2 linked regions of the Danio rerio genome follow. The protein of the gene in region 1 interacts with the protein of each later gene in a biochemical or structural test. Links are inferred from orthologs where the notes say so. Each region holds a gene or a part of one and is shown on either strand. Other genes may lie near its edges. The genes, in order: rnf114 and xaf1.

Evidence for each region.
Region 2: the proteins of rnf114 (region 1) and xaf1 form a complex in vitro, tested with the Homo sapiens proteins (2 studies listed by BioGRID). The link is inferred for Danio rerio from reciprocal best matches to the Homo sapiens genes RNF114 and XAF1.

What each region holds. Positions count from the first base shown.
Region 1 is NC_133198.1:3,522,656-3,526,589, reverse strand, and holds the start of rnf114 (E3 ubiquitin-protein ligase RNF114), read left to right. Parts: upstream 1-1,526; 5' UTR 1,527-2,035; coding exon 2,036-2,154; intron 2,155-3,934. UniProt on the Homo sapiens protein: E3 ubiquitin-protein ligase that promotes the ubiquitination of various substrates. In turn, participates in the regulation of many biological processes including cell cycle, apoptosis, osteoclastogenesis as well as innate or adaptive immunity.
Region 2 is NC_133190.1:31,663,393-31,667,326, reverse strand, and holds the start of xaf1 (XIAP-associated factor 1), read left to right. Parts: upstream 1-1,788; 5' UTR 1,789-2,039; coding exon 2,040-2,077; intron 2,078-2,168; exon of another isoform or gene 2,169-2,206; intron 2,207-2,539; exon of another isoform or gene 2,540-2,667; intron 2,668-3,934. UniProt on the Homo sapiens protein: Seems to function as a negative regulator of members of the IAP (inhibitor of apoptosis protein) family. Inhibits anti-caspase activity of BIRC4. Induces cleavage and inactivation of BIRC4 independent of caspase activation.

The sequences.
Region 1 (3,934 bases):
CTGGAAATCCCCACCGCCGCACTGCGCATGCGCCACACTACCTCCCATGCGCGCTCCCGAGGCCGCAAGCTGCAGTCAGGACTAGCGCTGGGATTCGGATTCATTCAGCGAGTCGGTTCGGCCACATATTTTGATTCAATGGAGTCATTTAACAGCAAAAAGCAAATATATCCAGATAAATACAGACTTAACTAAAACATAAAAGAAAATAAATTAACTAAAAATCTATTTAAATATTCAAGAATGAATAAAAACACGTAACCTCAATATAAAAACTTTTACAATATCAGCAGCTATAGGTAAGACATTATTTACAATAGACAGCAAGTTTTCTATTCAATTAGCTTCAACTCCTTTGCAACTATCATCGTATTTTGACATTTCTTGCTATCAATACACTGTAGCGAGTATATTTAAAAATTAAAATCTATAATGAATACCTTTAAGATTTAGTATTATTCCTTCTACGGATATGAAATTTACCAAATAAAATCAAAATATTCATTATAAATTCCACAGATAGTTTGTTTCAGTCAAAATAAATTAGCACATGATGTTAAATTCCATCTAAAACCCGATACATACAGAGATAAGTCATCCCAAAACTTCTTTTAATGCTGACATTCAAAAGACTCTGAATGATCTAAACAGAATGAACAATTTTCATCAATTTGCATGAATTTAGATAATGTATTAATACTAACATAAATGTTCAAATCAATCATTCTAAAAAATATCCTCTAGGCTTTAAGGCTCTGTTTAAAAAAATACCTTTGATTGTACATGCTTTACTAAAAAAAATCTAAATAGTGTACACAGGATCAGTTCTATGAATTCTATTTTAAATGTGAATTGTTCCATTGTTTATGAATGTCTGGATTTTTATATTTCTACCAACAAATTTTTTGAGAATAATATTAAATAATACACAACATGTGAAATAATAATTTTTTAAGTAAAAATTGCAACATATAACTAAGAATTGCATTTTTAAGATTATTCTCAATTGTGAAATTGTATGTTAAATGCTAATATTTTGATCTACGTTTCTAACAAGACAAATGCAAGAATTGCGAGGTCAGATGTTGTTTTTAGATTTTACAGGCATTTATTTACTATTCTGGGATAAAAAAAAAGCTATGTAAAAGTTAATTAAGATTTGCGAGATATATAACTGTCACATATAAGTATATTTTATTTTCTATTTGAATGTTTATTTATTTTAATGAATCGAAGTATACTTTTTAGATTACTTTTCTAAAACGTCGCCCGTATTCAAGTTTCACTCCTAAAAATGTTCTACTTTCATTAATTCTGGTAATAAATGAAAGCAATTATTCTAATTTGCTTTGGAAAGACTTCCCCCTTTGTGTAATGTAATTATATATATATATATATATATATATATATATATATATATATATATATATATATATATATATATATATATTAAATATAAATATATATGTAATTAAATATATAGTTTAGGGTAGGCTTAGAAACTTTTTTGACATTTGTAAATCATATACTATTTTCTTTTAATTTATGATGATGTAAATATCCTTATGCATTTCTTTTAAAACATTTTTATTTAAAGTTTTCATTTTTTTTTTCTTTATACTGTGACTAGATTTTGCATTGCCCATCAATAATAAAAAAAGTAACGTCAAAAAAACTTCTACGTTCTTATTTTACAGTCTGATTCAACCTCCAATCGAGTCATTTTCACATTCATTCATTCGGTCGGTCATTTAAAAGAGCCGGTTCAAATGACTCGTTTATGCATCGGAGAGCACTAGCGAGATCTCGCTTATAACTACGCACGTAAAAGACAACACAGCCACAACAGATGTAGCCTACTATATGTTGCATTTATTTGTTAGCAAACGGCTATTTTTATTTGTCGTACGTCTAATAAGAGCTGTAATGTTGTTTCTCGTTCATGTGCATCAGGAGATCAGCTGAGTTGTTGCTCCTCCCCTCACAAAAGTGAATCTCACTGGAGTTCAAGAACACGGAACACAGCGCAGCAGAAATGGCCATGCTCAAAATAGACCCGCAAACCGACGTAAACGATGCTGAAGACGACGACTTCGTGTGTCCCGTGTGTTTGGAGATATTCGTCCGGCCCATGACCACGCAGTGCGGACATACGTGAGTATTCTGGAGAGCTCATGTCTGCTAGCAGCAACTTCTCGGTTGACATGTTGAGTAGTTTAATGTTAATCCCCTCATCACCTCAAAGCGATTCACAACCTTCGTGACCTCCGCCTTAATCTTAATGTGATTGTGTTGGACACTGTTCAGTAAGTGCTGTTGTTGTGCGATTTTTTTTATAAGACAGAAACTGGTTACTTTCAGTTTTGCTTCTTGTGTACAAAACTTTGCAGTGTGGGATTGTGGGAGTTGTAGTGTACACGTAATTAGAACCGGAAAACAACACCCAGCGCCTGTCTTGTCAGATCAGATGTGGCCTTTCAATTACAAGCATTCCTGGCAAACATCAGTTAAAAGTGCAAAATAATAGCATTTACAGAGTATTTGTATTTGGTTAAGGTGCTGTAGGCAGTGTAGGGAAGGCGGTTTTTAAAATGTATTTCACTTTAGATTAATAACGTGTATTTTTAAAAAAGTTAAGTTACTCAATCTGTTTGGAATATTAATTATTAATAGAGCAGTAAAGAAAAGTGGAATCCACAAAACATTAGACATTTTTAATTCATTTTTATTTATATATCAGTTACTCAAAAAGGCAATATAATGATTTTTAATGAACAATTGAGGTAAATTGTACTTATTTAGTATTAGTATTAGCTGCTGAAGCACAGTGATAATTGAAAATGTATACTTTAGTTTGTGTAAAAGTTTACACCCCCTGCTCTTAATGTGAATGTGCTGAGTGTCAGGAAACATTTTCACTTTCGGTAAATGTTTTGCTTGAGTTCGTCAGTAAACATGGGCATCACAATCACACAGTCACTGTTGTAGGGCTGTAAAAATATAAAGAAGACGCAGTAAACTGAAGAATTTGCAGGAGCTGAAGGCCTTTTCTAAACTACAGCAGCTGGTTGAACTCTTCAGGACAATCAAATGACTCATTAAAAACCATCACAAACATTCATACAGTTGATTCAGGGGTGTGTAAACATTTCAACAGGATAGATTTAGTCAGTTATTATTTTGTCTTATATGTAAATATCTAGCTCATGTGGAGTAGTACCAGTGGTGTAGCGGACGGGCCAGCAGGGCACGCTCCGCGGGGGGGCCCCGCGTGATTAAGGGCCCCGCCTTGTTGCGATTTTTAATAATTGAAAATCCGGCAACCACAATAATCAAACCCCTGGGAACAACTGTGGTCGGAACCAAAGTTCCCAGGTCTGTGTTCTCTCAACTCCTCTCAAACGGTGGACTACTTCATTCTGATTGCTTGCCGCCGAACCACATCATAGCATATTACCATAAAGTTGACTTGATTTCAAGTCCTCCTCGATGCCCACACCGGAGAAGACTCGACGCGCTGCTCCTCGCCACCGGTTCTCATTGAAATTGAAGGACTTCCGGCTACTTTGACGCTCTCGCTGCTTGTTTGTGAAGGCTACCCCGCGTCGTCGCTCCACCCCGCCCCCCTTTCCCGCTCCTTAGTTTGTGATGGCTCCTCAGTTTGTGAAGGCTTCCCCGCGTTGTCTTTCCACCCCGCCCCCCTTTCCCGCTCCTCAATTTATGATCGCTTCCTCGCGTCGTTGCTCCACGACTCTCCGTGTCCCCTCAGTTTGTGATTTCCCCCCCATCAGTGGGCCCCATTAGTGATCCCTGCAGGGGGGCCCCCACATTTTGCGCTATGCCACTGAGTAGTACTCAAAACTAGCATTCACTATGATCCATCCTATTTTGTTGAAATTATTAAAATTATTGTATTCTGCAAGGCAGGGTGTGT
Region 2 (3,934 bases), on another chromosome or scaffold:
AAACCTAAATCCATGAACTTCCATAGTAGAAAAAAAACAAATACTACAGAAATCAATGGTTACAGATTTTCAGCATTTTTTTCAAAGTATCTCGTGTACAACAGAAGAAAGAAACTCAAACAGGTTTGAGAAAATAAATGACAAGTAAATATATCATTATTGCAATGTATATCATGATTGCAACACTCAACAATATCGCATATTGTCCTAGTATTGTGTGCAGCCCTTCTCTGAATCAATGTGAAATCGATTTTTCATTCGATGCTCACCACAGCTCTACCACTCATCTATATACACATCCCCCCATACAAAAGTAAAAAGGAGAAAATTTCCAATAAGCTTCAATTGTGTGAGTAAAAATGTCTAGTTGATGTCAGAGGTCAAGATTAGGCTACTGATAGAAAGGCAAAAGGAACTCAAATGCTCACTTGTCACAACCAAGGTCAGCCCTCAAGCAGATGAGCCCCTCTGAACACAAATCATGCCAAACCTTGACATGTGCGACATTCAGGGTCAGAATTTTGCAAAACCAACATGAAAGCATGGATCCATCCATAGTAGCAAGGTAGCACAGTCACACAACGGAATCAACATTTTGCCAAAAATGCATTAAAATAACTGACTGATACACACTTCACAAATGTACAGAGACACACATTACATTTACAGAACTTAATTTAGTGGTAGGCTATATTGCAATGGAATGTTCAGATTTACTAATATCTACTGTATAATCACATAAATATCGCTGGTTACTGTATGGCTTGCATGAAAGTAAACCGCCAACCTGATTTCACCAAGTAGGACGTGTTCCTGGATAAACATCTATGTGGATCCTGGAACAACATTCCAATCAGCCAATCAGAATTAGGGGTTCGTTTACAGTTAAGTTTAGGCTTACAGTTTGTTTTATGCACTTCTGCGTAATTGTCATCCAACTATTATTTTCTGATTTTGGGAATAATTTACTGTTATGTTTGGGTTTAGGGGTAGGAAATAGGTATGGATCACAATTTTGAACAAAAATGATGTTCCAGGATCAACACAGATGTTGATCCAGGATCGCATCGTACTTGGGAAAATCATGACATGCGAAAAGTAAACAGTTAGTGGAAAATGTAATTTTTTAACACATATTTGTCTGACTGTTTAATTATAACAAAAACAAAGAATAATGATAAGTAACAATTGTGGTTATAGACCCTTTTCACATTTCCGGGTTTCTCAGTAGCAGAAAGCGTCATAGTTGGGTAATTTTAGAGCGAAGTAATTGACAAATGGCAGGCTCATTAAAGATATCAAAATGTTTTTGTTTTTTGTTTTTTCCAGTGGATTTCTTTCAAGGGTTAATTTGTTAACAGTGTACATTTTGATTTAATGCAGACTTTAATATTTGAATATTTTATTCTACCTTTAAGTAGCTATTTGATATATACTTTAATTTGATGGGTAATTTTTGTTAAAGGCAAGTGTTATAATAAACTGGAACTAATTACATTTGTCTCCTTTTTTCTATTTATGGACGTGCAGCCAACAATCTGTGTGATGCTTTCATTAAAAATGTGCCTAAAATTATCCAGGGAATGTTTACAGCATCTCAATCTATCCTAAATCTATGCTGTGAAGAATTAATCAGTTTTAAAGGCAAAAATAAACCCAAACCGTGTGTGTGTGTGTGTGTGTGTGTGTGTGTGTGTGCTGCTGATATACACACTGACATTTCTCTAATACAGATCAGTGGTGTGTACAGATATTTAGTTGCATTATTGTAACCATGGTGATGAAGAGCCGTCAAAGGATTTATGCTACCTGGTTACTGTGGACCAAATACCTCATGGGCAGGACCTTTGTATCATTTATACTAGATGAGACATAGTGCATGTTAAAAATGTCAAGTGAAGTGTCTGCATTTCTTTATCACAACACATAACAAGATATGTTTATAAATCAGAGATGTTTACGTCACCTGGTAAGTTTCGGTTCCGCTTTCTGTTCTGGATAAGTGAAAGTCCCAAGTCGTCTCACTTTCTAGTTTAAGTATGGACACAGAAGAAGAGCTTGTTTTATGTACTCACTGGTGAGTGTTTTACAGCATTTTTGTTTGGTTCTGTAAGACGTCTATTTATATAACGTTAACATAAATATCGCCGTGTTAAAAGATCACTTACATGTTCACGACGTCATGTTCCTGTCTGGTTAAGTTACACTAACAACAGCAAAACGAAAACAAAAACATTTTTATTATTTACTCAATTATAAAGGATATATTTACGGTGTTTAAAACTATGGCGAGATGAAATCAAGTAACGTTATCTTCTTATAGAGCCAGTTCTGACTGTAACGTAATATTCGACATAATTTGTTCATTTCAAATTGTATAAAATAAAACTGTGATTTGTTTTGTTTATTTACTGAATCGCTTACATTTTAAGTGAGGTTTAAGGATTTTTCCACCATTACTAATGACGTAAACATTCTCAGGTGGTTTACGTTGATCGTTAAGGTTAAAGTTCGCCCACTTCAGCCCTCATTTACTCACCTTAATGTCCTTCCATCCCTTGAGACTTTTGATGAACAAAGAATATGTGATTTAAGAGGGACCTCTTGCATATTTTCAGATAAATTTCAACAGAACTGGAGAATGTACGACAAATTGTACGCAAACGCATGTAATCATACAAAACTAGTTTGTGTCTGGTTCGCTAATGTGTTGAACAAAAGATTTGAATCATACAGATCTCTGACTTCATTCATAAATTTATTTAAAAAGATCTATCTTACTTAGCCTCACACTGTCAACTGTCTAAAAAATGCAGTTTTTCAAAAATGAAATATAAATATCCTAAATTGCATTGTCTTTTGGGCCTGTGGATTAATGTTATCTGTTATATACTGTAATAGTTTCCTTTTTCATATGTATTGCTACATTTTAAATAATTCATCATGTAAAATGCTACACATTATAATCATTGTCACAGTAAAAAATACATTAAAAAGATCCAAAATTTGGACTAAAAATGTATTCACTGGTTTTGTTAACAATGACCACTAATTATTATTATTGACTTATTCAGGCCTGTTGGCAGGGGGGGGGGTTTGGGTGGTTTGAAAGACGCACTCCTTACCAACAAAGGTCCAGAAGTTCTCCCATACATGAGCTCATTTGTCCCATTTGACTGCTATGCCATAAGAAATTGTGATATAACCCATAGAAGAAAGCTTTAACACGAAGCATAATCCTCTGTTGGCTGTCGCTTCAGTGTGACTGAGGAAAATTGAATGTGCTGGCCAGTTTGTTATTTAAATTAATGATATTTAAATGAAATAGTCTTGTTTTTAATTTAAAACTTTAACAGATTCCTAGTTTTTTTCTAATGATATATGATGCAATACATTTGTATTTAAAAAATCAGTATTGTTCTCATATTTCTTCATTCTAAATGTTTAGAAAATGTTTTTGGCACATCAAAAAGTGTTGTTATGATGACCATCCAACCAGCTAATCCAGCAAAAAAAGTGCTTAAAATGTCACTAAAATGCAACCTATTTAAACTTCCCAATTGAATAAAAAATGAGGCAAATAACTGCAAAAAGGTATTTTTAAGAAAAAAGAACCCCACCTTTCACCAGGCTGCCTATGGGCCTGTTATTGATTTGTTAATTTTATTTAATCAAGGTCACAATAAATTAATTCCACCACTCATTTTGATTTAATTCAACATGGCAACCAGTTATTACAATAAATTATCATATTTTGCGCACATTCAGAATATTTTTAAAAGGTTTCTAGGGTGTTCTTCACAAAATATTTTGTGTTTCAAAGTCATTCAAATTCAGAGTGAAATTTGTGAAAATGCTAGTGTCGAAGTTAGGATTTGAAACTACTTGATTAACAAAACAGCTTTTCCATGCTCCAATCTGTCTAATGAGCTTC